Callithrix jacchus: one gene and its partners. The protein of the gene in region 4 interacts with the protein of the main gene of each other region in a biochemical or structural test. Links are inferred from orthologs where the notes say so. Each region holds a gene or a part of one and is shown on either strand. Other genes may lie near its edges.

Region 1 (3,756 bases), on a different chromosome or scaffold from region 4:
TGTGTCTGGAACCCAGGGTATTCCTTGGAGTATCTCTGAGAACTTCCATTCTCAATAGCAAAGGTTAATAGAAAACTCCAGCAACAACAAGAAGGCAGCAATGCTGAGGACCCTGAAGACCTTGATCCTTCAGGTGTGAAGGTTTGGGTCACTTTCCTAGGGTAAGTGATCCTGAGCAGCACAGGTTCTGGCAGAAGACGAGAGAAACCCAGAGCGGGCAATGGGAGAAGGAAATAAAAATGACTCATAGTGAGATATGAAATGAGAAAAACAGTGACTTAGGAATGAGAGGATACAGATCAGAAAACATAGAAAGCTAAGCCTTGCGGAGACAGTGAAGCCAAGAATCTCAATTCGGAGAGATTAAAGAAGATTGTAGCCAAAAAGAGATATGAATGGTCTCATTTGGACTAGATGGAACAACAGGGCTTGAGGTCAAGTAATTACCCTTAGAAGCATTTCCAGTATTAGATGTTGAATCAGAAAATATAAGACTTTTCAATCGATTCTGCTAAATTTGCCAAAAATGTTCCCATTTTATGGACGAGACCCTGAAACACTTGGTCCAAAGTTAATCTTTCAGAGAAATCTAAAATGAGAATTATTTTAGTTCACAAGTTGTAAACTGTTGGTCTGATTTGTTTTGATCCAAACAGAAGGAAAGAAAATGAGGTGAACTGGCTTAAATTCTGCAAGGCTGTCTTTTGAGAGAACGTGCCCCATCTAGTTTGTCTCAGTCCTTACCACTCCCTATTGCGTCTTAGGACTCAGAGTTAGCCTCACAATTAGCTTAACTTGTCTGGCCTCACTACACATCTGCGTTTGTGATCCCTGTTCTTTAACCTCTCCTGCATTTTCAACCTTAGACCTATCATTAGAACCAGTTTGTTCTTCAGGCACATTATGAGGTCACCGTTTGGAGGTGGACTTACCTGGATAATGCGGTCTCCTTCTCGGATGCGCCCATCCTTGGCTGCAATGCTGTTAGGGTCAATCTGAAACACACATGGACCATCTCAGCACAAACCCAGACATGCATGAAAATAAGCAAGAGCAATTTCCAAAGCCATCTCTAACACACAGTCATGCTCATCCCTGTGTGTGTTTTACACAGAAATAAACAAGACTTAGTGTCTTGTAAGGAGAGGCAAATATGAGCTGATCTGCTTCTAAGCCCTTTGTAGGGCCAGTTCTTGCATCCCTGCATAGCAACCCTGTTACACAGCAGAGGGTGCAGGCTCTGCCAATCTGAGGGGGCTGAGGGGACACAGCTGACCTTTTTTATATGCATGATTATTAAAATCAAATCAATCATAACCCTTCATTATGTTAACTAGCAACCATACCTTATTTTATACAAAATACTTGTATTAAAATTTGGAAAATAACTTTAAAAATATAATTGAGACAAGGGGGACTGGTAAGGGGAAGGATGCCCCCAGATGCAGAAAGGCTGGGCTAACAGCTTAAGCTTGATGGATAACATACAGCCAACCAAAAAGATAATTATTAAGTCTAGTAGTTCATCCTGTAGCGACATTTTATTTCCTGACAAAATTGGGTTTCTGTGCTTGCAAGGATGGGTGTGTACAGTAAAGTTTCCATACTAAAATCAGTTGCTTTGTATTATCTTCTTAAGGAAAATCAACACAGTGTGCATCTATGTAGTTTGATAAGTACATAAAAATCACATTTAACTTAAATGAACTCAACTATATATACTTCACCAGGAGAAAAAAAAAAGTGAGAGAGAGAGACTTGAAAAAGTGTAAGTGATTCTATCCACCATTCCACTCCATGAACATGAGTTGGGAAATGTGAATCTGCCATTCCCTCAGGGCTAAACACACAAAATCATGTAAATGGCTCCATTTTATGGCTGATTTGCAGGCTTCTCAAGGGTAATTTTGCTCTAAGTACTGACATTAGGACTTAACCTCCGTGGAAAGATGCAACGCCATGGAGTGTGATGAGGGGGACAGAATAATTTGTCTGTGTCTTTCCCAAGAGTTCTTGATGAGGTAGGTTAGGGTTGGTGAACATAGGGAAAAAAACCCTTTTGGTGTTGATATGATAGTTACAAGAACAAAATCAGCCTTTGTACCTCACTGATATAAATCCCAATGTCATCTTCGTCATCCGTCCGGTAGCACACAGTGAGGCCCAGCTTGTCCTGGCTGTTCATTCTGTAGAGGTCCACTTCCTAGGCAAAGAAAGGCATTCCCAGTGAGACTCCAGCAGGCAATGCGAGTGAGGGGATGTCAAATGCTTTGAAAATATTTTCTTTAAATGATGAACTGGATTTCTTTGCATTCAGCTGTGTAGGGCCGCTTAACTTACTAAACAAAAAGTGATTATGGACACAGGATCAATGCCTAGGGCATTTCTGACCTTTCAGTCAATATAAAGTCATTTTGAAAATAGTTATTTCATTGATCCCCCAAAGAAAAATTACCCATATTTCACTCAGCATCAAGACTTCTGGGGCAGCGCTTTTCAAAAGCACTTTTTCAATGTCTGCCACAGACAAGAATATTTCCATACCCCAAACCACCCAGCCATTTCAGTACAAATGTTTCCAATGTGTTTGGTTAGATGATTTCACATTGCATTCCCTTAATATTCAGTCATAGAACTTGCAAACAGATTACACATAAACAGATCCAAGAAAGGAGGGTAACGTGATAGTGTGCAATTAATGTTCTCCACAACAGCTGTGATATTTACTGTCAAGAAATTAGTTTCAGCCACTATTACTGCAAATTAAGTAAGATAAAAGCAAAGTGAGCCCAAATGCGGGACACATGCTATTGTATCTGCCAATTGGTGTATGCTTCAGAATGAATTCAGAACTTTGGAAATTGTTGGACATCCTGGGTCTCTCAGTATAACCAGGCTAAGTCACTTCTCACCCACTTTGCCAATGACTTGTGCAACTTTTTGTAGGACTAAGCTGTAGGCCTAGTTGAAGGGCCATGTGGTAAGTTCTCTGGCAGGTCGTTTGGTCTAATTTTTAGTGTTATCTGCTATCAAGCAGGAGAATGGAGGGGCTCTGATACGGGGTCTTCACGCCACTTTTATCTGGGGACTATTTCCAAGTGGCCTCTCTTGAGGGTCTTCTTGGAGGGGAGGGAGGATGCAAATATCTATGTGGAGAAGCTCAAAGCAGTTAAATGGCAGATACTTCTTGAACTCTCCCCGATATGAAAGGCAGGGTGCCTGGCACCATTAACACTTCCCACGTGGAGGAACTGCAGGTGCAAAGGCCGTGGGCCAGCATGGCCAGAGCCCTGTGTACAAGAAGAGAGAAGTGGGCTGAGGGTGGCCAGGTGGCACAGCTAGACCAGGCAGGGCATGTAGGCCAGCATGAGCCACTAAGATTTTATTTCAGCATCATGGGAACCCATGAAAAGGTTTTAAGTGACGACTGCCATGACCTTAATGACTTTCAGTAGTCTCTCTTGGTGATATATGGGGTATTATAATGTGGTGGGGAAGAGTTGGAACTATGAACACAGATGTTCAGATCCCAACTCTCCCTCTTTCTAGCAGCTTGATCATGAGCTGCTTCTTATATCTAAGGCTCTGTATCCTCACTAGTATCTGTCACCTTGCCTCCCAGAGTCACCTATATGAGGCACACAGAGCTCTTAGCACATTGACTGGCCTGCAGAAAGTCCACAGACACTGGTGGTATAATCGTTACACGCAGGTATGGTTACTTGCCTGAAGTCACAAGAAGTTGTTTGTGGCAGA
Region 2 (3,756 bases), about 20 Mb from region 4:
AGGGGACTAGGAATGGCTATAGAAGCTGCCTTAGGATGAGGCTGAGCTCAGTTCTGTAGAAGAAACTATTCCTCAACTGAACGATTCCTACCCCCAATATAGAATATAGTTAGGGCAATAAATAGAAATGGAGTTGTGGGAATGGGCAAAAGGCAGGTTTGTTGCTTGTGTAGAATGTAACACATAGCCAGAGTAATTTACTTTTCACACCTGCCTGTCCCCCTGCTGAAGCTGTCTCACAGTACCCCCATGGAAGCCTGAGTGGGGACATTGGGCATATGCTAAAATCGGTACTCTCGGAAAACCAGGAATAACTTCATAATTTTGTGTCTCTGGTCTCCCAGCCTCCTAATTACATCCATGGGGCACATCAAGCTCACTGACTTTGGATTGTCCAAAATTGGCCTCATGAGTCTGACAACGAACTTATATGAGGGTCATATTGAAAAGGATGCCCGGGAATTCCTGGACAAGCAGGTAAGGAAGGGTAGTTGATATATTGGGGGTTAAATTCTAGGCCCTTGGCCTAGCGCAGTGGCTCACGCCCATAATCCCAGCCCTTTGGGAGGCTGAGGCAGGAGGATCACTTGAGGCCAGGAATTCAAAATCAGACCTGGGCAACATAGTGAGACCTCATCTCTACATTTGTATACATATACATACATTCAAGGCCCTAGAAGAAGGCCTTGGGGCCATATGCCTACCTTGTAGCTAGAGGTTAAGATTGGGGAACCCCTATCTTTTCTACCTTTGGGTTCCAGAGAGGCATTGATATAGGTAGCACATTTGAAAAACAGGATGAGCCATAAGAATCATATGGATATAAAATCCAAAGTCATCTTCCTCCTCAGGGTTTGGAGAAAATAGGTCAGTAACTGTTAGCACAGAGTTTCATATGAGATCAGTCCCAAATCTCCCAGCCTGAGTCAAGGACAAGGCTCTCCTGGAGCTTGTGGTTCTTGGAACAGAGCTCTGAATTTCCACTGGGCTATGGCCCAGTGTCCTGAGAGGCAGCCTCTGGATGTTCCCTGGTTTAAGATTTCAGGTTGTGACTTCACCAGTCCCTGTAGTAGTTATGTGACTCGCAGGATCTGTTCTTTTAGAGGCTGGAGTGCAGAGGCCAATTGTGGGATCAGATGCCGGAGGGGGGTGTTGAGGGCTTAAGGGATGGTAGTTCCAGGCTAGAATGAGACTTTTTTTGTTAATTAGGAAATACCAGCCAACAGTTCCAACTCTTATTCCCTGGGGCTCCTGTTGATCTTACTCATTAACTAAGGTGGGCTGAGTCTTCATTCAGAGACTCTTCTGTTTCAGAGGTGGGAGCATCCCCCCTCTCCAGCTGTCATGCCAGTGAGCAGCCTCAGGAGGCTAAGCCAGCCTGGCCTTTCTGTGCCCAGGTATGCGGGACCCCGGAATACATTGCACCTGAGGTGATCCTGCGCCAGGGCTATGGGAAACCAGTGGACTGGTGGGCCATGGGCATTATCCTGTATGAGTTCCTGGTGGGCTGTGTCCCTTTTTTTGGAGATACTCCGGAGGAGCTCTTTGGGCAGGTGATCAGTGGTAGGTACTCTCCCCCTGGCCCAGTGGGGAAACAGTGTAGATCCACAAATAAGATGTCTTCCAGCAGCTTGTGAGGCCTGTGAGCTCTTGTTCTGAACTCATGGTGTGTGTCTGATGTCTGCTGCTTTGGGGGTGGATGTGTCTGTGTTTCTGTCTGTACATACACGTGCATGCTGTGTCCTTGGGGCTTCACATATCTCCCCTCTATACCTGTGTGTTCTGTTTGTGCACATCCCATGAGTGTGAGGAGTATAGAAGCAGGGTGAGCTGGAGCTTCAGGAGAGGGGAAATCACTGTTTTGCAGTGCCCACTTTGGATCAAAGATCAAGCCATGGTCTAGGAACCTATAGAATTTAAGGACTGGGGTCTCAGGCAAGGCTTTGGGGGCTCTAGGCTGTGCCCTTTTTACCTCCTTTCCTCACACTGTCCTGGGACCCTCTTCTACATCTCTCCACTCTCCCCACAATTTCTCCTTTCCCTCTCACCCCTGATGACTTCAGATGAGATTGTGTGGCCTGAGGGTGATGATGCACTGCCCCCAGACACCCAGGACCTCACCTCCAAACTCCTCCACCAGAACCCTCTGGAGAGACTGGGCACAGGTAGGACACGCCCCGCTAACTTTTCTCACTACTTGGAAAAGAGGTAAGGGAGGCTGGAGGTTCCAAACCCTAAAGGTTTGGGCTTCAGTTATGGGCAGCCCATCTGGATCCTGAAACTCTGCCCTGCTCCCTGTAGGCAGAGAAGGGGAGACGCTTGAGCTGACCACCTAGGTCAAGCCAGAGCTTCTCAAGGTCTGGCTTCTTACTAGGTATGCTGACCTGTACTCCATGCAGCTCATCCTACCCCCTTGCCCATGCCCTCCCCGTCCACAGGAGGTGCCTCTGAGGTGAAGGAGCACCCATTCTTTACTGATCTGGACTGGACAGGACTTCTCCGCCAGAAGGCTGAATTTATTCCTCAGCTGGAGTCAGAGGACGATACTAGCTATTTTGACAGTAAGGCCGCCAATTGGTGGGGTAGAGTATGGGTGCTACCCATTTGCCTAGAAATATCTGTGCACACTGAACTTGGCATTGGGAGCAACTTCTCAGGGCTCTGCTGAAATCTAATGGAGTCACAAGGAGGCCACCAGCAGGACTCTGAAGTGTCCTTTATGTCTGTCCCAGCTCGCTCAGAGCGCTACCACCACGTGGACTCAGAAGATGAGGAAGATGTGAGTGAGGATGGCTGCCTTGAGATCCGCCAGTTTTCCTCCTGCTCTCCAAGGTTCAGCAAGGTGTGACTGAGGAGACCCAGAATGGGCAGAACAGGCTGGAGGATCAGAAGAGGGCCTGTCAAAGGGCACTCTTGGGGCAGGCTCAAGGAATGGGGATGGGGCCACCTCTAGAAAAAGAGGAGCAGAGGACTGGGGCTCCATATAGCTATATATAGATGCTTCTGGAACGACTGCAGCCCCTGACATGAGATGCCAGGTCAGATCAGTGGAATAACTGCTTCCCCAAATATTCAGCAGGGATGTGTGGAGGAGGAAAGGAGCCGACTGGCTCAAATTCCTGGGTTTCCAATGCCAAGGATGCCTTTTGCCACTTGGGAGGTACGGATACCAGAGCCCATCCCCAGTGCATCCCCTGTCCCCACAGGTATACAGCAGCATGGAACGGCTCTCGCTACTCGAAGAGCGTCAGACACCACCCCCGACCAAGCGCAGCCTGAGTGAGGAGAAGGAGGACCGCTCAGAAGGCCTGGCGGTGCTCAAAGGCCGAGACCGGGGCTGGGTGATTGGCTCCCCTGAGATGTGAGCACACAGAGCTCACCCAGGGTGGGCGACAGCTATCCCTTCATTGTCACAGATATTGAGAGAGATTCTGATGCTGGGGAAGAGTGCAGGTAGCAGTGAGGGGCATTCATAGGGTGGCTCCTGGAGGAATGTCTGCAGAGGAAAGTTCCATTACTATAACCCTTGTGTGCCCCAAAGGAGGCCTGGTGGCAGGAGGGGGACCACATGGGCCATCTCACCCCAGGCCTTGTGTCTCATAGATTACGGAAGCGGCTGTCGGCGTCTGAGTCATCCCACACAGAGAGTGACTCAAGCCCTCCAATGACAGTGCGACGCCGCTGCTCAGGCCTCCTGGATGTACCTCGGTTCCCTGAGGGCCCTGAGGAGGCCAGCAGCACCCCCAGGAGGCAGCT
Region 3 (4,523 bases), on a different chromosome or scaffold from region 4:
TTGAAGATCCGTTCATTCATTCCAACATTCATTTGTCAAACATTTCTCGAGTACTCACCACATGCAACACATCAAGCTAGGCACGCAGAATATAACACAAGCAAACCAAACTGTCCCTGCTTGCATGGAGCTTACAGTCTGGTGTTGCTTAATGTGGTCTTCAGGAGTCTTACATCTTTCTAAGTCCCCCAGTTGCATGCTTTTTCTGTGGGCAAGAACTGTCACCTTAATTTTCTAAAACTCTCTTATAGCACCTTACACTAGGTTCTCTACACAGCAAACTGATAAACTGAAAGAATACTAGACTCCATTATCTGCAGCATTTTATTCCTTTCAGTGTGATTTAAGACTGTAAATTATTTAAAATCCATAGAGTCTTGAGCCTGATGTCCAAAGTTCTGATCGAATAGGCCTACAGCTAAGGGGGGAGGATTCAGTGCATCTAGCTGGGGATGTCTGAAGGGGACCTGAGTCCCAGCACTCAGGTATCTGGGGATAGCTGAAGGGAATCTGAGTCTTAGCACTCACTCTTAACAGGAAAGAGGATCAGGCAGGGTGAAGGTGAGGAATACCCTTACCCTGCAAAGCTGCACTATCTCATAGGAGAAAAGTGTTTTAACTATAGGACTTAGAGGTATAAACCCAAGACTGAACCCCCCAGGTAGGAGCCCCAAGACAGGAAAATGGAAGGGAAGACCTTGACTGCTGATGGGCAATTACCCTACTGCCAAAGAGAAAGAAGAAAACGGTGCTGCACACATTCTACAGGCCCAGTATAGAAGCCCAGTTAGATATGAAGGGTCAATGAAAGAGCCACAGATTCAGACCTGTCTTTGAATCTTTAAGTGCAGATTCTGTCACTAGCCAGGCAAGATGGCACTGGGCAAGCTGGGTATCTGAGCCTCAGTTTTCCCTTCTGTGAAACGTGAACAATAACCTCTGATGTTTCTGTCTACCTCACAGAACCACTGCAAGATCCAAATGAGATTATGTTTTGTGAAAGCACTTAGGAAACTGTAATGTGCTGGGCAAATCCTGAGATTTTTATCTATGAGGATATCCAAATTCCCAGAGGAGTGTCTCACATCAATCCAGGAACCCTCACTGCCTCCTCCTTCTTGCACCCCTAAAACTTGGGTTTCCATCTTCTCAAATCCCTGAATTTACCAGAAAGAGTTCAGCATTCAAATCTTAAAAAGGCCAAGTACACTAATTCTCAAATTCCAAGAGGATGAAAAGGGAAGAAGGGCAGCCATATAAACCGTTCCAACTCCTCACCTTGACGTGCCTCAGTTCTCCCTTTCCAAGGGTCAAACTGCAGAGAGGCCCAACAGAAAGGGGGAGGGAGGTCTGAACTGGCCATATATCCTTGTGCCTGCCTGCTTCCTCTTCTGCACTGCCAAGTCAGTTCCCATCTAGGGACTGCTGAACTAATCTAAATGGGACTCTGAGGCAATGCAGAGATTAGTGCTTGGGAAAGAGAGATTATATGCATTTTAGGCCACATTCCACAGCCAAAAGGAAATTAATAGCATGGATAACCGAAGATGGACTGGGCATGAAGGGAGCAATTGCATCCTTGCAAATATTCTTCATTATCTCTCCAATAATATTTTTTCCAGGCCCAGTCCTTTCATTTGCTTATTCAGTCCTTCAACCACCCATCTATCCAGTTAGGATGTGTGCAGTGCCCACAAAACACCCCCCACCACCACCACCCCGCAAGATTCTTATGGGGAGAAGGGTTGAGGAGGGGTAGGGGAGGGAAGGAAAAGACAAGCAGCTTGCAAAGTTGTACCAATCATTTGGAGGAAAGAATTGCAACCACACTGGAGGAAAGAATTGCAACCACACTGTAACACTACCAGTGATAGAGGTGGCTGGGCAGACTCTTGGGGGAAGGGGCATCATGTGCTCAGACTCTGAGGGCAGTGCTGCTGCCCAGCAGGCCTACGAGCCCAAAACAACTCCTTCCGGCTCGAGCCAGAGGGAAGGCCCATTTTGCAGAGTCAAGCTTATTAAGAATGGCTTGGAAGATTAAACCTAGAGCATCAGTTGGTTGGCAGGTCTCAATTTAAACTCTAAGCTCAGAGGAGAGGAAATTCTAATGTGACCTATGCATTTTGGGGCCATGTCAGCTACTGGTAAAAATCCAGACCTGTATGGGTGCAAAGGATGTTTCTGTCCCATCATTCAGGCCAAGAACATCCTCTTCATTTCTAGAAATGAGATCTACCCCATCGCCAAGCCCCAACATTCCATAACAACCAGCCTGGTGAAGACCCACGACCCTCCCAGGACCCTTCTCCCAGCAGCTCCAACACTTAAAGCCAGTCCCCCTAGGGGCTCACAAGACACGTTTGCACCCACCTGAGGCTGGCAAGTTGGGGGGGACTCAAATTCAGCCTCCATCCTGGCAAAAGTCATAAACCACTGGAAACATTTCTCACTCCTTCCCCTCTCCTGGCTTCACTGTTTATAGCTTATACTCAAAAGACGCGGAATCAAAAGCTGTGTTTTGAACACAGACACACAGAGAGCACATAACCACACAGGCTGACAGTCTCCAGAGACGAATGCTCCTAGCCCACCAGTGCCCACAGCCCACCCAGACCCTCATTTTCAACCATTCATTAAAATGCAACACCCTCTCTCCCAGTCTTTCCTTTAGTCAATGTCGAAAAATCAAATTATCAGCAAACCTACCTGTCTATACTCTGGGGTAACCTTACACTCATGGTTTCTCGGTGTCTCCACGGTTCCAGAATCCTGCAGCTTTGGTGTCTTGATCACGACTGAATCGCTTGCAGTTTTTAAGCAAGGTGAGAGGAGGGTCTCCCAACTTGAAGATTGAATCCTTTCTCCTCCAGCTCTCAGGACCCTGGTAACTGATGCTCCACTCTACTTCTACGAGCGAGCATGATTTCCTTTCTCAGCCCCTCTTCCCCTCCCCCACTTAAAAAAAAAAAAAAAAGAAAGGAAAAAGAGGAAAAACTATGACCTTCTCAGAAACCAAAAACCCAGCCACAAATCTCTTCAAGGTTAGCACTATGGGCTAAAAAATGAATCACAGAAAAATGTGCCTTCAAAATATCACTGTTAACTGCAAAGTACAGATAACACCATCCTTTAAATCCAGTTTTCTCAGCTGTCCTTCTGTGGGCAAGAGACCCTTTAGCTCAAAGGGTGAAAAATATTTTTCCAGTCTCCAATGCTTAATGTGACAACAGCAAATATATTTCAGAAAAGGAAAAAAAAAAGGATTAATAAATCCGAAATGGCACTCGGAAAAAAACCTTTCAGCTGATTTGCACAGTAAAAAAAAATAAATAAAACCATACAATAGTATGTACACGACAGCACTCCTTCCAAGTCCAATGCAACCCTGGGAACCAAAATTTATGGACTTAAAAAAAAAAAAAAAAGCTTTTACATTAAATGTTTTGAAATTCTTAAACGAGCCAATTGCACCAAAAAAAAAAAAAAAAAAAAATCAAAGAACACCTGAAATGCAATGCTTTTTACCTTAAGATGGTAGCAATGATCACAAACCAGAGACAATCTCTGAAAATATTCTCTCCCTTTCTTTTTCCTTTAAACTTGCAGGTTCCTCCACCTACCCCAGACTGATTCTCAGACCCAGCCTACGTTCGGCCTTTTTCTGAAAGACAATTTCCTGAGTTAGTTCTGCTGTTGGGCTCCTCCACATCCAGGCTCCGAAATTTTCTCTTGCCTCAGCCTCCATGAAACGGAGATTTCGCTTCCTCCCGTTCCCCCTTCTCTCTCCCTCTCTCTCGCTCGGCCAGAAAGACGGCTCCCTTATTATTCGTTCGGATTATGATTGCGGATTTGAGTTCGGGGTGGGTTTTTCTTCCACACCAGCCTCCTGGAAAATCCGATCGCCTGCCTCCCCTCGGCCTCTCCTTGCCTCCCTTTCCGCCCCTCGCCTAATCTCGCAGACAGGAGCCCGCCGTGCCTCGCGCAGGACGCCCGGCCGGGCCTCCGGCTCCCGGCGCCGCTCGCCCCGCGCCCGACCGCCGTGTTCCGGCCTTCGCCGCCGCTCGGGACGCCGGGCTCGGAGCACAGGGAAGGCGGCGGCGGCTGCGGCAGGCCGGCACGAGCGGGCGTCAGACTGCCGGCGTCGCGGCCGTGCTCGCCTCCTTCCGGGCCCCTTCCCCCTCGGCTCGCCGCTCGCTCGGGCTCAGGCCCGGCCGGCCGCCCCTTTCACTCCCTCCTCCTTCCCTGCGAGCCTTTCTCCTTCCCTCGCTCCGGCGGGGCGGGGCCGCAGGCTCCTCCTTCTCGCCGCGCTGCCCGCAGCCCGCCGGCCTTTCCCCTCACGCCGCGGCGGCCGGGGGCGGGGGCGGGAAGCTAACCGCCCTCGCCGGCCTCGGTTCCCGCGGCAGCGACTCCCGCCGACTGGCCCGCCCCTGTCCCGGCCTTCCTGCGCGCCCTGCCCCCCGCGACCTCTCGCCGAAGCGCCTCGGCCGGTCCTCTCTGCGGCCCCTCAGTCGCCGGCCCTGCCC
Region 4 (4,369 bases):
TTGGCAGATGGTCAAGGAAGGGCAGTTGGCTCTGACTCCACCGGGTCGTTGATCACACTGGCTCCCAGGCCAGGTGGTCAGTGCCCAACCCAAAGCCCACTACCGACTATCCTCACACCCTTTGTGAGTCCCCAGAACTCTAAGCTTGACTTGGGCTCCCTTCTGAACCTCTCTGCTATCCAGCACTGTGGTCCTGCTTGGACTCACCCTCTCTTGCCTTGCCCAGCTGCCTCCCTGGGCTCCCTGCCTCTTTACTCATGCCGTTCTCTCAGGCCCATGAGTTAGAGGCCACAGAGGTCTCCCTCAGACTCTTCTAGCATCATGAAGCAACCCTGCCAATAGTCAGAACGCCTCTGCCAGACCAGCTTGGTATCTGAGGGTCCCTCCCCTGAAAAACACATTGCATTTATCCAATTTTTTTTTTTTTTCAGACAGAGTCTCACTCTGTCGCCCAGGCTGGAGTGCAGTCTCCGCCTCCCAGATTCAAGCGATTCTCCTGCCTCAGCCTCCTGAGAAGCTGGGATTACAGGCATCATGCCTGGCTAATTTTTGCATTTTTAGTAGAGATGGGGTTTCACCGTCTTGGCCAGGCTGGTCTCAAACTCCTGACCTCGTGATCCCCCCGCCTCAGCCACCCAAAGTGCTGGGATTACAGGCGTGAGCCACTGCGCCCAGCCATGCATTTATCCTATTACTACCTTCCAGACCTTCACAGCCAGTCATTGGCACTTGGCTTAGGGGAAGGGGATTGGGTGGGGAGGGATGGCTGAGACATAGGCCTGTCTCTCCGCTTTTGAACTAGGTGCTCTGAAGACAGAGCTGTCTTCCTTGCCAGAACCAAGGTCCCTGAAGTGTGGGCTGCCTCCCTCAGCCCAGCCTGGGTTCTGCACAGGGAGGTGTCCCTACTCACCTTTCAATGTCGCCTTCTTCAGCACCTTCATGGCATACAGGTGCCCACTGTCAGGCCGGGTAACTTTCCGCACCAGGAAGACCTGAGAAGGCAGAGCAGGAAGCAGGGGATAAGATGGGAGATGGGAGAGGGCTGAGTCCAGGCTGGAGTGCAATGGCGTGGTCTCAGCTCACCACAACCACCACCTCCCAGGTTCAAGCGATTCTCCTTCCTCAGCCTCCCAAGTAGCTGGGATTACGGGCATGCGCCACCACACCCAGCTAATTTTGCATGTTTAGTAGAGACGGGGTTCCTCCACGCTGGTCAGGCTGGTCTCGAACTCCTGACCTCAGGTGATCTGCCCACCTCAACCTCCTAAAGTGCTGTGATTACAGGCGTAAGCCACCATGTCTAGCCTCTTTTTTTCTTTACTTTTTTAAGACAGAATCTTGCTCTGTCACCAGGCTGGAGTGCAGTGGCGTAATCTCGGCTCACTGCAACCTCCACCTCCTGGGTTCAAGTGATTCCCCTGCCTTAGCCTCCCAAGTAGCTGGGACTACAGGTGCCCACCACCACACCCAGCTAATTTTTTGTATTTTAGTAGAGACAGGGTTTCACCATGTTGGTCAGGATGGTCTTGACCTCCTGACCTTGTGATTCACCCACCTCAGCCTCCCAAAGTGCTGGGACTACAGGCATGAGCCACTGCGCCTGGCCAATGACCTGTATCTTCTCTGAGCCCCAAGCTGACCTTTTTGCTCTCCGTGGGTACCAAGGTGACCTCTGATACTTTGGGCCCATAGGTGAGCCTTGATCCCCACCTCCAACATGACCAACGTTGCCTTCACAGCCATGGGCTCATGACTCACTTTGCCGAAGGATCCCTGGCCCAGAACCTTGAGGAGCTCGAAATGGGATGGATCAGCCTTCTCAGAGCCAGCCTTGACGTGGTGCGTGATGGAGATCTCCTTGAGGACGCCCTCATCCTGATGGAGGGATAGAGCTGGTGGGCACAGTGGGCCCCATCTGGGCAGCAGGAGGCATATCCCCCCTGCCCAAGTCCCTTCCCACCAGACCGCAGCAGATGGGACCTAAAGGCCCAACAGATGACTTCCCTGAAGGGCTAGCCTCCAGGGACATCAATTTCAAAAGGGCCTCAAAGGTTGGTGAGGTCAAACCAGAAAAGGTACCACTCCTATTGCTCCTGATGCTCTGGATGGCCCAGAGGGATGCCCAGGCATGGCCAGGCTCAGCTAACCCGACTTGGCTGAGACCCAGAGACCTGTCCCAGGTCTGCCCGTGGGGCTTCCCTCCCCCTGCTGTTTTAGTTTTGCCACAATAGGAAGTAGGTTTGTTCTCATATGGGGAGGTAGAGCTGGGCCTTCATTCCTGGTCAGGATGGGAAGAGGGATCCCTCTGGTCAGTAGGACAGGGCTGAGGTGCACAAAGACCCAAGAGTCACCCAAACTCCCCCATCGACTTGGTCAGCGCTGGCCTGGGGCAGGTCAGAGTTAAGGCCGGAGATTGCATGGCTCATCTTCCCAAACTTCCCTCCTACAAACCTATTAGAAGTGCCTTGCCAGAGCCTCACTGTTCCAGGACTCTAACCTCCCTCCAATCTGCTGGTATTACCTTGAAGCCCTCAAGTGCCTCTTCACCTCCCCAGGAAGCAAGTCTGGGCAGGGTCCAGTCACCCCTGGCAGGGCCAGGACAGACCAAAGCCAACTTGCATTAAGCTAGCTTCCCAGGCACCTGTGCGAGGGACACAGCCAGGCCAGGACCAGACATCCGGGCACACTCACCAAGTCCTGCTGGGAGCCAGAGCCAAGGCCAGGGACAGGCAGAGAGGTCTGGCTGATCCTGGGCCGGTGCTTCCTGGGCAGCCAGGGGAGCAGGGCCCAGAGCCGCAGACGGGGCGGCTTGGGATCCTGCTCCATCCGCCCAGCAGGGCCACAGCACCATGGCAGGAGCAGGCAGCGACCAGGGCTGCCGCGGAGGTGGCCCGGACCAAGGCGGATGTGCAGGGTAAGGGCGGGGGCTGGGCCCGGCCCAGGGCAGCCAATCACTCAGGGTCTGTGGTTTCCCAGCTCCAGGCCTACACCCTCACCACGTTCCCTTCCTCTCTCCCCACTCCCCAGTGTCTGAGGGCTGCCCTCTGGCCATTCCCCCATCCTCCCTTTGCAGAGGCCTGCAAGGGGAAAGCCCCCTGCCAATGCAGCTGCTGAGCAGACAGGTACCCAACAGCAGATAGGTACCCAACAGGCAAAGACAGATGCCTGATTTGTGGAGGCAGACGAAGAGAGACACCCAACAGGCAGAAGCAGGCACCCAAGAGGTGGAAACAGATAAGAATGGCATCTAATAGTCAGGGGCAGGAGGGAACACATACCCAACAGGCAGGGATGGATAAGGATACCTATCCAACAGGCAGAGGCAGGAGAAATTCATACCCAGTAGAAAACAGATGGAGACATGTACCCAACAAGAAGCAGCAGGAAGGGACTCATATCTAACAGACAGAGGTGAACAGAAGCTCATCCCCAATGTGTGTAGGCAGATAGGGGCACAAACCCAACAGGCAGAGACAGAAAGGGACATGTACCCAACAGCCAGAGACAGATGGGGACATGTACCCAACAGGCAAAGACAGAAGGGGACGTAAACCCAACAGGCAATGACAGAAGGGGCCATGTATCCAACAGCACAGAAACAGATGGTGACATGAACCCAACAGACAGAGGCAGAAGTGGACACGAACCCAACAGGCAATGACAGAAGGGAACATAAACCCAACAGGCAGAGACAGAAGGGGACAGGTACCCAACAGGCAGAGACAGAGGGGACATGTATCCAATGGCAGAGATAAATGAAGACATAAACCCAACAGGTAGAGACAGAAGGGGACATGAACAACAGGCACCTAACATGTGACATGTGCCCAACAGGTGAAGGCAGGTACTTATCAAGTGGAGACAGAGATTGTAATCCAACAACAGACACAGGTAGGCAGCAAAGAGAAACAGCCAGTGTCAGTGAGGCCCAAGTAGACTGGCAGACACCTAGGACAGATAGGTCTGATGCCCGGCAGACACACAGGCAGGCAGGCAGGCAGCAGGGCAGGGATCCCCAGGGAGGGGTTAAGCATGGAACTGTGGGTTCTTGCTGCTGTACTTGGGGTGGGGAAAGAGAAGAAGGGGCACAGTCTGCAAACTCAAGAGAGCAGTCTGATATTTCTTGGAGACCCACCTCTGAGGTTGTCTGTTTCCCTAGGATTTTCCTCCTATGCCAGGACCTGAGGGGGTCCAGCTATCGGCTGAGAGGACTATCTCCTGAGTGCAATCTGATATCCTTAACTCTGATCATATCCTAAAAACAGTTATCCTCATTCCAGGAACAGGAAACTGAGGCCCAGAAGACAGTGACTCACCGAGGCTCAAAGCAAACAGTGGCAGAGTCAGCTTGGACCCAGGCACCTCCCCT
Region 5 (4,362 bases), on a different chromosome or scaffold from region 4:
GAGATGGAGTTTCACCATGTTGGCCAGGCTGGTCTTGAACTCCTGACCTCAGGTGATCTGCCCACCTCAGCCTCCCAAAGTGCTGGGATTACAGGGGTGGGCCACCGCACCCAGCATTTTTTTCTTTTTCTTTTTCTTTTGTAGAGCTGAGGCTCTATGTTGCCCAGGCTGGTAGCAAACCCCTGGCCTCAAGCGATCCTCCCACCTCCACTTCTCAAAGTGCTGGGATTACAGGCGTGAGCTACAACACCCAGCCTTGGTGGCTTTCTGAGGGTTTGGTCTGTAGTTCAATCATGAGCCACCGTGATTGGCCAGGGCTCGGCACACCAGAGAGGCTTGGTAAACAGGCAGTCTGCCAGCAGCCTACCCGCATCTCTGAGTAATGGCAGCAGTTAACGTCCTGATGGACTCTCTGGTCTGTGGCAGAGGATTCTGAGGCACAGAGAGGACCCGTAGCTCTCCTCGGTTACACAGTTGGCCTGTGGCACAGTTGGCATTGGAGCCCAGCCTTCAGAGCCTCAGCACTGTGGCAGGACCTCTAACAAGAGCCCCTGAAGGTCCAGTTGCCTGTGAGGTCTCCCTGGCTGCATCCCAAAGCTCCCTTCCCTGTTCCTTGTACCAAATGCCATGGCCAAGGGCAAGATGATGGAGAGAAGGGAGAAGGGATCAGTGGCCTTGCAGTCAGCTGAAATACAAACCCCTCTGAGGTGTCCCAGTGGCCCCCACACTTCCCTCCACCTCTGTGGATAGGAGTAATTATGCCAGGCGGGCAAAATAAGTTGCCTGGTGGGAGGAAGTGGGCATGGATTCTCAAGGAGGAGGCTCTGTCCCCACAGTGAGCTCTGCTCCAGGTCTGGATCATCTGGATGACCAGAAGGCCAGGATGAATATCCTGCTCACCTTTGCCCGGTGCCCATTCCCACCCACCTGCAATGCTTTCTGCAAACCTGGAAACTTAGCCTCATCCCCTAAGATGGTCACTCAAAGTCTCCGGAGCCTGACCCCTCCATCTGCCTGGCTTCCACATTCCCCACTGCCTCCCAGACCTCAACCCTCACGTTGAGGCAAAGGAAAAAGGACACACCCACTTGAGACTGTCCACCTCACTTCTGACTCCAGTAACAGACTCTGAAGAAGATATCACTCCATGCACCCAACCCCTGGGTCCAACCTGGGCAGGGGTCAAGAGGACATCACAGCTCTACCTTCCAGCAGCAGTTAGAAAAGACCCTATCATCCAGGCGAGGTGGCTCAAGCCTGTAATCCCAGCATTTTGGGAAGCTGAGGCAGGCAGATTACCTAAAGTCAGGAGTTTAAGACCAGCCTGGCCAACGTGGTGAAACTCTGTCTCTACTAAAAATACAAAACTTAGCCGGGCATGGTGGCATATGCCTGTAATCCCAGCTACTCAGGAGGCTGAAGCATGGGAATTGCCCGAACCCAGAAGACAAACCCCTCTCAGTGAGCTGAGATTGAGTCACTGCACTCCAGCCTGGGCAACAGAGTGAGACTCAGTTTTGGAAAAAAAAAAAAAAAGAAAAAGCCCTGCCCTCCCAGGTGGGAACCAGGCTGTCACCAACTGTACAGAGGAAAGAAGGTTGAGCAGCCCTTTCCTTACTTGGTGTTTTTAGGGGTGAGACAGAAGTCAAGGCTGCCTGGTAAGCCAGACATCCAACCTAGCTCCTATGGGCCTTCCATGCAGCTCAGTCTGGCCCAGGGTCTCCAGCCCTGGGTCTGCCCTAAATCGACTGACCCAGCAGGGCCAGGAACAGTGGGGCCACAGCAACTATTGTCGCCAGTCACTATCCCTTTGACTGGCAGTCCAGCAATCATTGTCCTGGGACTCTATGCCAACAGGCCTCTCTGAGGCCACAGGCCTCTCTGGGGGCCACACAATGACCTTGCACTCAGGGTCAGTTCTGTTCTTTCTGCCAGGGTCAGGTCTTAATCCAACCCCAAGTTCGTACTAGGGACTACCCCCACCCACCCCACCCCCATCCATTCCCTGTCCCAACCCAGCTTTCTCTCTCTCTCTCTTTTTTTTTTTTTAAGACAGACTCTTTGCCACCCAGGATGGAGTGCAGGGGCACAATCTTGGCTCACTGCAACCTCTGCCTCCCAGGTTCAAGTGATTCTTCTGCTGCAGCCTCCTGAGTATCTGGAGCTACAGGCATGCACCACCATACACGGCTGTTTTTTGTATTTTTAGTAGAGATGGGGTTTCACCATGTTGGTCAGGCTGGTCTCAAACTCCTGACCTCAGGAGATTCACCCCCCTCGGCCTCCCAAAGTGCTGAGATTACAGGCGTGAGCCACTGTGCCCGGGTCCCCACCCAGCTTTCTCTTGATCAGCCAGTGAACTGGTGGCAAGGGGCAAGGTGCCCTGGTTCAGCATAGGGAGCACAGCAGTGGAGAGGTCGTGCCCCCCAAACTCAGGACGAGATGCCCATATTTTCACAAGAGCACCCAACCTCAGTCTCGGCCCTCTGTCATGTCCCCTCGACCAGCCCAGGTGTAGGAAGGAAACTGGTCTTTCAATATCAGCCTTTTGCCCCGACACCAACTCTTTAGGGCTGCGCACGGGTTCTGAGCGCCCAACGCTTAGACCTCGCTGCCCCGGTACCCACCCAGGTTATTTCCAACCTCCTTGGGCCCCGGGCTCCGCCCAGGCTCGGATGTTGCCCACCCAGAGCAGGGAAGCCCCTCCGCGCTCCAGCCCAGCCCCTTCAGACCAGCCCGAAGCGGATCCACGGCGCACAGGGCGCACGGTTCCCGGAGGCGCGGGACGGACGTGACGGGGAAGCTACCGAAAGTGCCGAGAGAAGCCCTGGTCCTTCCCCATCTGGAGCCGGGGACCGCGACGCGGCAGGTGCCGAAGGGCAAGCGGGTATCCAAGCCCGGGAGATGAGCGAGCGCGCCGCGACTCCACGCACCTCTGCCCCGCGAACGCGCGCGACCCCTCCCGAACGGTCCGGGCCCGCAACCCCGCTCCCGCCCCCTCTTGGTGGCCCCGCCCCCTCCCGGGAGCCCCGCCTCTCCCCCGTAGAGGCAGGCCCTCTACTCACCCCCTCCCCACTTTGGTCACTCTGGGGTGCAGGGGAAACCGGGGGAAGTTTGAGGCCGCCGCGCTCACTCCCCTTGGCTCTCTCCATTATTCCTTCCCCAGGATCCTCCCCTGTGTCCTCTCCAGCCACTGCGTCCCGGACCCCCGCACAGTGGCGAGTCCCTGCAGTTTAGAAGCCCCGATGGCTTTTGGTAGAGCATGCGAGGTTTTCCGGAGGGGATGGCCTTTGCGTTAGGCCTCCAGGGCTCAGCAGGAGTCGGCCAGCTAGTAGAAGCCCTCTCTACCTACCCGGGGTAGGGATGGGGTTGGGGAAGGGACGCTGTGGCCGAGAAGAGGCTGGAAAGGGAGGCTTTGAATGTCGTGGTCAGCAGCTGAGACCCGACTCTGGGAGCAGGAGGGAGCCTTAGGAGGGTTTCAGGGTTCAAGAAGAGGTGGAAGGACTCCAAAGGTTTTGGCACACCAGGAGAGGGGTGATGCTAGGAGGGGACGCAGAAAAGGGTGTTGGGTTGGGACAAGAAGCCGGATTTCAAAACACAGAGGAGGTAGAGTGCCTGAGGCCTGGGGAGTTAGTGCCAGCGAGGTCAAGGTGCCCAGGCTGGGGCAACCCCCAGGTGAGTGCGGAGGGGGTGAGTAGACGGCCTCCCAGAGCTGCAGGTCCTGCCCAGCCAGCAGAGAAGAGGGGAGGAGCATTAAAGGGGGTGGATAGGGAGGCGACAGGAAGGGAGGTCTGGACTCTTCCCTGGGGGCTCTGGGCCTGCAATCCCCTGCAGGGCAGCAGGAGGGGACCCCAGAGTGCCTGCTTGCATTGTCATGTCTCCAGGAGTCCTGATTGCCACAGGAGAGGCCCAGAGTTAGGTCTGAGGAACAAATGATACAGTCTGAGTAACCAGTTCAAGGCACATCCTGGGGAGTGGCTCTTCAGAGGTACCCCCGACCAGGAACATCAGCATGAGGCCCTCTCCAAAGACAGGCTGGAACAGCAGAGGCAGGATGCCCCCAGACTTTCCCTCTGTCCCACTCAAAGGAACAACTACCATGGTGCAGACAGTGGGTACCTGCGGGCAGCACAGAGAGGACCCTGTGGATCTGATCATTGGTCTCTGGTACTGTCCATACACTGCTCCTCAACACACCGCAGCCCCCACCCCCCCGGCCGCCCCTGCAAGACCATCACCTTGCTGTGACCTCCCAGAGCTGTGTTTCTCCCTGGAAGCAGCCAGGAAATAGAGCCAGTGCTCACTCATGCCATGCCCTCCCCAAGCCCTGTCCTCAGCCCTGCCAGGGAGAGAAGCAGCTGA
Region 6 (4,348 bases), on a different chromosome or scaffold from region 4:
CACTCTGTCTCTCCCTCCTTTCAAGGCCACCATGCTCATCCTTCTGCGCCCGTCCCCTCACCGGTACAGTGGGGGCCGGCTGTGAGCCTGATGGCCAGTGGAGACCTGTTTCCCTCCACACAGGGACTCAGCCAACTCCAAAGCTTGTGAAGCAACTTCCCTCACTAGCAATAAATTAGGCTGCTCGCACGGTGCCAGCAACACAGGACCCCGTGCAACGAGACCACAAACAGCGAGACCAGTAACAGCTGGCTTGTTTTGGACAAAAACATGCTTTTTCAATGTTGTCGCCTCACACCCAGAGTATTGCAGTAGTCTAAACTCTCCACCCTGGATGCATTCCGTACTCCACCGCTAGGTCAGCCCTACACTAGGCTTTGAGTGGCCCCAGTTCAAGAACATCTGTGCACAGGGCACAGGGCACACAGCCAGCCTCTTCAGCCATGGACTCTGAGCCACCAGCCTAGCTCACTCCTGCTGCCCTCCCCAAATGTCCCCCAGTCACACTGATCTATTCACCTCCAAACAAGTTTTTGGCTTTGCATATGCTGTTCCCAGCTTTGAGCGAAATGCGCATCCAGCCCACTAGGAAATTTACAGCACCTGACCCCTCTCCCACAGCCTTGGAGTTAAGTGCTGGGCTGACTCCTCTGAATGAGGCTGTCTGGCTTTAAATTCCAGCTGAGTGACCTTGGGCAAGTTTTTCAATCTCAGTGCTGCTATCTGTAAAACAGGGATGAGAAGCTGGGTGTGGTGGCATCCGCCTGTAGTCCCAGCCACTTGGGAGGCTTAAGCAGGAGGATCATTGAGTCTAGGTGTCAGAGGCCGCAGTGAGCCATGATCACACCACTACACTCCTGCTTGGGTGACAGAGAGAGACCCTGTCTCTTAAGAGAGAGAGAGAGAGAAGAAACTCCCTCCTCATAAGACCAAATAAGGTCACAGAGGTAACACACCTGGCACACAGACTGGGTGCTCACTAGGTGTGTGCTAGCATCATGCCCATTCTCGGGTCTCCTGGATCATTTATCTGCGGGACAGCTCTCTACTGCCTAACTAGACTGAGTTTCCTGAGGGCTGTGCTCCTGTGTTGGTGAAATACACAATCATCAATTTCACCCAATTTGGCTCTGGCACCTTCCCGTCCATGTAAGCCAAGCTATGCCAAGCCCCCGTTGGTCATACTGAACGATATTCCCATAAAGAAAAACCTAGACCAGGGCACAGGGCACTCTGCTCTCCTATGCCTCGCTCCTGGCACTGCTCATGTTGATGAGGCAGCGCTGGGGTCGGGCAGCAGCTGCGTGGCTGCGGCCAAGCGCACTGCCAAGCCCCCTTGTCCGGTTCCTGCACCGCGGCACTGGCCGCCACTGAACTCGATATTGTTTTTCCAAGTGGCCTCTGCCTGAAGATGAGGAGCATCTCTCTGCAAGGTCCCGCGAGAGAGTTAAACCTTTCTCCACTCCACTCCTTCCCCCATCACCACCATCTCTCCCGCCAGGACAGATCCTTGTGAGTGCCAGGAGGGAGAGAAGGGTTGACGTCTTTCCCATCACTAACCCGGTCCCTTCTCCGCCTCTGCAGATTTTGTGATCCAACGCCCGATTCAGCTTATTCAAAAGGAGCCACTTTCATTTTTGTAGGGCTGGCTCAAAACGAGGAAAGTAAGACAGGCAGCAAACGCTGCTGAAACGAGCGCGGTGCCAAACCAGTCCCTTCCGGGGGTAGATTTTCTGGGGGAAACCGCGGGGCAGGCCGGCAAACACTGTTCTTCTCCAAAACGGTTACATACAGTTTTCAAGAAGAGGTCCCATGATAAAAAGTAATGCATGGTTCATTTTAAAGGGGACGGAGGAAGCAAACAGAAGAAAAAGCAACAGAAATGACTGAAGCCGCTCTGCAAGGCGCCAGTTCCCAGGTCTGAACTTCTCTCCTCCCTTTATGTTCCTATCCCTCTTATTTGTCCTAGGTCCCCCGCGCTGTGACTGCCCTCAGGGCACCCCGCAGCCGGTCACCAGGCGTCTGGAGCCCCAGAGTGCAGGCCGAGCGCACCGGCATCGTCCGGGCGCGGAACCGGTCCCGGGGTGGGCTCAAAGTTTGGTTTCGAGGCAGCCCGCGGCAAGCTGTCCCCCCGGGGCCCACCTGCCTGTCCCCGAGAGTTGCCCTGGCCACCCCGCAACGCTTCGATGCCCCTCTGCCTGCCCGCCGGTACCGCAGAAGCAAGTCCGGGCTGCGATGGAGAGAGTGGGGAGCTGCCCAGGCGCGCGGCGTAGTACCTTGGCCGCAGGCGCCGCGCTGCAGGACGATGACCGGCGGCTGGCGCAGCCTCTCGGAGCGGCGGCTGGCTGCGCGCAGCTGGCACAGGTTGGCGTAGGTGTTGGCGTCGTTGCCGCACACCGGCTCGCTGCTGGCGCACACGCAGAGGCCGGCCTGCGAGCGTCGCCGCACCGTGGCCGAGGCCGGCACCCCGAAGGGCACCACGCACTGCAGCCCCTCGCCGCACGGGCCCTCCTGCAGGCCGCATGCGGCGCCCTCAGGCGCGCCGCACACCTCGCAGCAGCCACATGCGTCCCGGACCCGGCCGCCCTCGCAGTGCTCCGGAGGCTGCGGGCAGCGCGCCGGCTCGCAGCGCTCGGGGCACCCGGCGGCAGTTCCGGGGGCTAAAGGCGCCGAGCGGCCGGCCCGGGACAGCTGCGCCGATGTGGGCGCCACCAGCAGCAGCAGCAGCAGCGGGAGGAGCGCGGCGCGCGGGGTCTGCATGGCGACTCTGGTGGCGGCGGACAGGGCGAGGACAGGAGAGCGGCGCCGGGGAGAGTGCGGGCGGGCCTCTGGGGCAGCGGGTGCGAGTGCGCGCGGCCGCGCGGCCCAGCCCATTGGCCTCGCAGCGGTGACGAGCCGCCTTGGGGACGGGCACCGCGCCCAGGAGGGGGGCCAGCCGGATGGCGGGAGGGCGGGCGGCTGGACCGGGACGGCCCGCGGCGGGGGCAGGGCGGGCGCATCCGGGCACGGCGGAGCTCGCGGGGCGCGGGCGGGGCAGCGCCCAGACCCGCCCTCTCGCGGGACTCAGTTTCCCCCTCTGCGCGCCCCATCTATTCGCCTTCCGCGGGTTCTCTCGCCGCGATTCGCGTCCTTAAAACTAAAGGAACTTTGCTAGAGGGTCCTGTGGCGGCTCCGCGCGGGAGAGTCGGGGAAAGTTCCTGCGAATCGCCCGGTTGGGGGCCCTCCGGGAGGCTCGAACTGGGCGGGGCAGGGACTGCTGGGGCCGCTGCGCAGACCCGGGGCGTTGGCGGCACCGCGGACCCCGCTCAAGGGCTGGGCCTGCCTCCGGTACCCCGCACGCGGAACCCTGACGCGGGGCTTGTGCAACGGTATGAAGGCGGCGTCTGTGTCGCCGACAGAAAGCCCGCGCCCGACCCACAGTGAAGTGAGAAAAGCAGAGAGCCGAAGTGATTCGAATGGAATCCTTCACGCGTCTGATTCTTTTACAAAGTTGTTGTGGGTGGGACGCGTGTCCGTACACGCAGAGAGCTCAGGAAGTGGCTGGGAAGCTTGTAACTGGCGGGGGTAGGGCAGACTCCGATGGGAAAGGGGCTTTCTACTGTTTGAGTTTTTCACCCCGTGCGTAATTATTTTAAAACACTTTTGTTATCAAAAATGTGATTTCTCACTGGAGAATCTTTGGTCATCCTTTGGGACAGATGCGAGTCTGAGAGTCATTGGGAGGGCCGAGGGCGACCCTGGAGGTGGGTCTGGGTGTCCAGGCAGCGCCAGGCCTGTGGGCACAGTAGTCCTGGGTCCACACACAGCAAATGGGTACAGCTTGTATCCGAAGACCTGAGAGGAGGCGGTTCGCCCAGCCCTCACCCGCAAGCCTCAAATCTCCACCCCGACCCTGGGCAGAGGCACCCAGGGCCGAGTGGGCCGGCAGAGCTAACCTTGGGATACAGTAGCATGGGAGGGGGCTGGAGGCTTGGGAAGTTTAATATTCTTCTGTATTTGGGTTGTTCTCTTGTACACATGTTACTTTTCCAATAAAAACAGTTTACAAAGTAACCTCCAAATACTTATAAGCCCTCTCAAAGCACCTTCCAAATATGAGCCTTGTTAATGTTCAAGGTCCAGAGGAGTCCTGCAGCAAGGCCCAGCAGCCTAGGGCATGGGAAAAGCTCTCAGGGTCCCCATGCTGCCTCCCTGGACTCCATAGCGACATTCCATCAAGCCAGGGCCTCATGGCTGCGGGAGGGAGGCCTTGACCCAGAATCCATTCAGCCCTGGATACTGGAAAGGCAGAGGCCTCTGCTGATGAGAAGCCCTGAGTTCCTGGCTAGCTGTGTTTAACCACAAAAAG
Region 7 (3,126 bases), on a different chromosome or scaffold from region 4:
GCTTGAACCTGGGAGACAGAGGTTGTAAGGAGCCGAGATTGAGCCACTGCACTCCAGCCTGGGTGACAGAGGGAGACTCCCATCTCGAAAAACAACAAAAAACTCATCCTGGGAGTATTGGAAACCGCAGAAGAGTTCTGGAACAACAGAGTAATCTGTGATGGGCCCATCACAGGCCAGGTGGATACAGCTCAGGTCCCCACAGATCTGGCTTGAGCCCCTCAAGGGAGTCCTCAGAGGCTGGGAAGAAAGGCATGCCAAGCACCCGTATTTCTATAGGGATGGTTAAGTACTTGAGGCAAGCCTTGGCCACCACCTGCTGTGGGTATTGGGGAGGGAGGCTCAAGTTCTGAAGTGTGGGGCCTCCAGCTCAGGCCTGTACATGTAAATTTAAATCTCCCAGACTATTTCCCTGGCTTCAGGCTGTAAGAAAATAACATGTGCGTTTGTGTTGGGGGTGGGTGGTTGGGATGGTGGAGTCAGAGCTTGCCCCAGCCCAATCCTCCCCCTGAGGCAGTCACCACACTGACACAGATGAAAAACCATCCATTTTATACAGTTTGTGGTTCAGAAGCAACAATATGCAGAACGGTGGAACAGTCTGTGCTGTCCCCACCCCACCTGAACTTGCCGGTTCCTGTCCCCAAGGGACACAGAACACAGACCCCCTGCCCAGCAGGACCCGACTTAGTTACAAGCCCCTGGGAGAGGCCAAGCCCTTAGGGGTCGAGGCCAGGACGCAGGAGGCCCAGCACCTGATGCCCCTGGGGGCCCACGGGGTCAGGGAACCTTGTGTGTGGAGGGTGGGGGGTCAGCCCACCATGGGCCATTTCTCCCCAAGGCTAAGGGCGGGGGAGCAAGTAAAGCTGAGGAGAGGGCTTCGTGGGACAGGGTTCCCACCCCTGCTGGGTGGGTGTTCCAGGATACCCCACAAGGCACTACAGATGAGACTGTAGGCAAGCACCCCATCTTTGGCCCCCGATTGCCTGGGTCTCCCCCTGCCCCAGCTCCCACTGTGGCTTAGCGAAAGAGAAGAGAAGGGCCTGAGCCCCCCACTCCCTCAGCAGACATCAGCCAGGAACCGACCAGGAGGGGCGGGGCTCGCAAGGACCCTCTCCCGCTGCTCTGGGCTCCTGGGGTCCTTTTAGCCCGGCCTCCCCCTCTTTCAGCGCTGACTGTTGCGAATAAATAAATAAATACCTCTCTGCCCGCCCCCGCCCCTACAGCTGGCTCTCCTCCTCCTCCAGGGAGCGGTTGAGTCCGGGGATGAACTTGAGCAGCCGCCGGCGGAAACTGCGGTACTTGGTTTTGCGCAGGCCGGGTCCGCACAGGGCCTGCTCGCGGGCCTCAGTCCAGAGCGCGCCCGGCGCGCCCCCGCCTCCGCCCCCGCAGGGGCCCGCGCACCGCACACTGGCGCTGCGGCTCAGCGCGGCCCGCGCTCCGGGGCCCGGCCCCACAGCAGGGGTATCGGCGGGGCCCGGGCCCAGGGCGCGAGCCGGGGGCGGCGGAGGCGGCAGCGCTGGCGGCTCGGAGTCCCCAAAAAAGCACGTGTGGTAGACGGCGTCGTCAGTGTCGCCCCTGGTCCGCCGAGCGCCTCCGCGGGGACGCCCGGGCACGGCGAGCAGAGGCCCGAAGGGCAGCGAGCCCGGGAGCAAGCCCGCGCCATACAGGCAGGAGCGCACCGACTCCAGCGTGTCGTAGATGCTGGGGTCCTTCACCACCAGGCCTGCGCGGAGACGGGGGAGGCGGTGGGGGGCGGGTCAGGCCTAGGCGGTGGTGTCCTCCGCAAAGGCTCGGAGGCATCCCCACTCCGTCCTGCTGACCCTCTGTGTGGCCCTGGCCAGGCACAGACCTGAGCCCCTACTTCCCTCACCCGCAAATCAGGAATGATCACTCAGATCCTTATGGGCGTCGCTTAGCACACAAGACCCTCGGAAAGAATTGACACAGACTCTTTGAGCCCTGGTGATCCCCTCTGTGAAGTGAAGATGACACTATCTGTTACTTACCTGCAGAGGGCTAGTGTGAGAATAACCAGAAACGTGGGTACGGCAGTATCCAAAGTAGTAGCTCAACGAACCCTGCTTTACTTTAGAGGTTTGCTAGTAAACCTTTCTTTACTAGAGCCCACCAGAGCTGAGGAGGAAGCGCAGACCTACTCACCATGCACCAGCCGCTGCTCCTGCACCATTAGGGACCTGTACTCTCCCCACTTCTCATACAGGGTTTGCTGCAAGAGACAACCACCACCCTACTGTCACGAACTAGCAGGAAACCAGCAGGACATAGGTACAGATAAGGGATCAGGGAGTAGACAGAAGAAACCTTCGGTTAAAGGAGATTCGGATATAAATGACCACCCCACAGGGTAGGCGCTTGGGAAGAGGAGGGTGGAGGTTAGACGTTATCTGAGCTCGTTCCCCTACCTTCAGGTACTGCAGACGAGCCTCCAGTTCCGCCTTCCGAATTGACGTTCCGTACAGAGTTTCCAATCTGATATTGGGGAATCAAAGGTCGAGTGAGCCACAGGCTGAGGAAATATCAAGAGGCTGAGCTCAGGAGTCCGCAGGCACTGCAGCTCCCAGACATACCTGAGAACGTTGCCTGACGCTTTAATGATGTCCACAATCTCTCGATGCCGGATGCCTTCCACGTTCAGGCCATTGACACTGGCAATGGTGTCCCCTGCCAGGTGGACATAGGGGTTAGATTTGCTCCAGGGGGCATGCTAGAATTCCAGCCTCTAACCTTAGCCAGAAAGGGGAGAGGGCGGGTAGTAACTCCAAGGAATACTCCTGAACTCCCGCCTCCAAATTCTCATGGTTCTAGGTGGCCCTCCTCTGACATCTCTCATACCCGATCCAAACACACAGAACCACAGCCATTCTTCTGGGCCTGTAGTGACCACCAGCTTGTCCAGGCCCAGCACCCCAGCCAAAGGACAGGGACCTCACACACCCAGCACCTTCACTCCACCCTTGAGAAGCTCTGTCCCAAAGCTAAGCCCACCCAGGACCCTGGGCTGTCCTCAGAGTTGGTTATTTCGGTCCAGTCCACGCTGGCCATGAGACCCAGTCAAAATTCAGGGAGGGGCAGGTGGGCAGCACCTCGATAGGAACTGACCCT

The links.
Region 1: the proteins of RPS6KA1 (region 4) and PDZRN3 interact in a test that uses a peptide from one of them, tested with the Homo sapiens proteins (2 studies listed by BioGRID and IntAct, with this or other methods). The link is inferred for Callithrix jacchus from reciprocal best matches to the Homo sapiens genes RPS6KA1 and PDZRN3.
Region 2: the proteins of RPS6KA1 (region 4) and MAST2 interact in a test that uses a peptide from one of them, tested with the Homo sapiens proteins (2 studies listed by BioGRID and IntAct, with this or other methods). The link is inferred for Callithrix jacchus from reciprocal best matches to the Homo sapiens genes RPS6KA1 and MAST2.
Region 3: the proteins of RPS6KA1 (region 4) and ARHGEF11 interact in a test that uses a peptide from one of them, tested with the Homo sapiens proteins (2 studies listed by BioGRID and IntAct). The link is inferred for Callithrix jacchus from reciprocal best matches to the Homo sapiens genes RPS6KA1 and ARHGEF11.
Region 5: the proteins of RPS6KA1 (region 4) and GRID2IP interact in a test that uses a peptide from one of them, tested with the Homo sapiens proteins (2 studies listed by BioGRID and IntAct, with this or other methods). The link is inferred for Callithrix jacchus from reciprocal best matches to the Homo sapiens genes RPS6KA1 and GRID2IP.
Region 6: the proteins of RPS6KA1 (region 4) and HTRA1 interact in a test that uses a peptide from one of them, tested with the Homo sapiens proteins (2 studies listed by BioGRID and IntAct, with this or other methods). The link is inferred for Callithrix jacchus from reciprocal best matches to the Homo sapiens genes RPS6KA1 and HTRA1.
Region 7: the proteins of RPS6KA1 (region 4) and TAMALIN interact in a test that uses a peptide from one of them, tested with the Homo sapiens proteins (2 studies listed by BioGRID and IntAct). The link is inferred for Callithrix jacchus from reciprocal best matches to the Homo sapiens genes RPS6KA1 and TAMALIN.

What each region holds. Positions count from the first base shown.
Region 1 is NC_133516.1:55,155,635-55,159,390, forward strand, and holds part of PDZRN3 (E3 ubiquitin-protein ligase PDZRN3), read right to left. Parts: intron 2,204-3,756; coding exon 2,105-2,203; intron 996-2,104; coding exon 933-995; intron 1-932. UniProt on the Homo sapiens protein: E3 ubiquitin-protein ligase. Plays an important role in regulating the surface level of MUSK on myotubes. Mediates the ubiquitination of MUSK, promoting its endocytosis and lysosomal degradation. Might contribute to terminal myogenic differentiation.
Region 2 is NC_133508.1:82,798,790-82,802,545, forward strand, and holds part of MAST2 (microtubule-associated serine/threonine-protein kinase 2), read left to right. Parts: intron 1-344; coding exon 345-477; intron 478-1,397; coding exon 1,398-1,563; intron 1,564-2,063; coding exon 2,064-2,165; intron 2,166-2,438; coding exon 2,439-2,561; intron 2,562-2,732; coding exon 2,733-2,842; intron 2,843-3,206; coding exon 3,207-3,361; intron 3,362-3,603; coding exon 3,604-3,756. UniProt on the Homo sapiens protein: Appears to link the dystrophin/utrophin network with microtubule filaments via the syntrophins. Phosphorylation of DMD or UTRN may modulate their affinities for associated proteins. Functions in a multi-protein complex in spermatid maturation.
Region 3 is NC_133519.1:17,439,323-17,443,845, forward strand, and holds the start of ARHGEF11 (rho guanine nucleotide exchange factor 11), read right to left. Parts: upstream 2,959-4,523; 5' UTR 2,739-2,958; coding exon 2,707-2,738; intron 1-2,706. UniProt on the Homo sapiens protein: May play a role in the regulation of RhoA GTPase by guanine nucleotide-binding alpha-12 (GNA12) and alpha-13 (GNA13). Acts as guanine nucleotide exchange factor (GEF) for RhoA GTPase and may act as GTPase-activating protein (GAP) for GNA12 and GNA13.
Region 4 is NC_133508.1:63,192,327-63,196,695, reverse strand, and holds the start of RPS6KA1 (ribosomal protein S6 kinase alpha-1), read right to left. Parts: upstream 2,883-4,369; 5' UTR 2,827-2,882; coding exon 2,692-2,826; intron 1,876-2,691; coding exon 1,759-1,875; intron 993-1,758; coding exon 911-992; intron 1-910. UniProt on the Homo sapiens protein: Serine/threonine-protein kinase that acts downstream of ERK (MAPK1/ERK2 and MAPK3/ERK1) signaling and mediates mitogenic and stress-induced activation of the transcription factors CREB1, ETV1/ER81 and NR4A1/NUR77, regulates translation through RPS6 and EIF4B phosphorylation, and mediates cellular proliferation, survival, and differentiation by modulating mTOR signaling and repressing pro-apoptotic function of BAD and DAPK1.
Region 5 is NC_133503.1:16,248,636-16,252,997, forward strand, and holds the start of GRID2IP (delphilin), read right to left. Parts: upstream 2,965-4,362; 5' UTR 2,843-2,964; coding exon 2,808-2,842; intron 1-2,807.
Region 6 is NC_133513.1:115,866,251-115,870,598, reverse strand, and holds the start of HTRA1 (serine protease HTRA1), read right to left. Parts: upstream 2,819-4,348; 5' UTR 2,761-2,818; coding exon 2,277-2,760; intron 1,919-2,276; exon of another isoform or gene 1,513-1,918; intron 1-1,512. UniProt on the Homo sapiens protein: Serine protease with a variety of targets, including extracellular matrix proteins such as fibronectin. HTRA1-generated fibronectin fragments further induce synovial cells to up-regulate MMP1 and MMP3 production.
Region 7 is NC_133510.1:67,464,060-67,467,185, forward strand, and holds the end of TAMALIN (protein TAMALIN), read right to left. Parts: intron 2,686-3,126; coding exon 2,592-2,685; intron 2,494-2,591; coding exon 2,427-2,493; intron 2,231-2,426; coding exon 2,164-2,230; intron 1,727-2,163; coding exon 1,221-1,726; 3' UTR 536-1,220; downstream 1-535. UniProt on the Homo sapiens protein: Plays a role in intracellular trafficking and contributes to the macromolecular organization of group 1 metabotropic glutamate receptors (mGluRs) at synapses.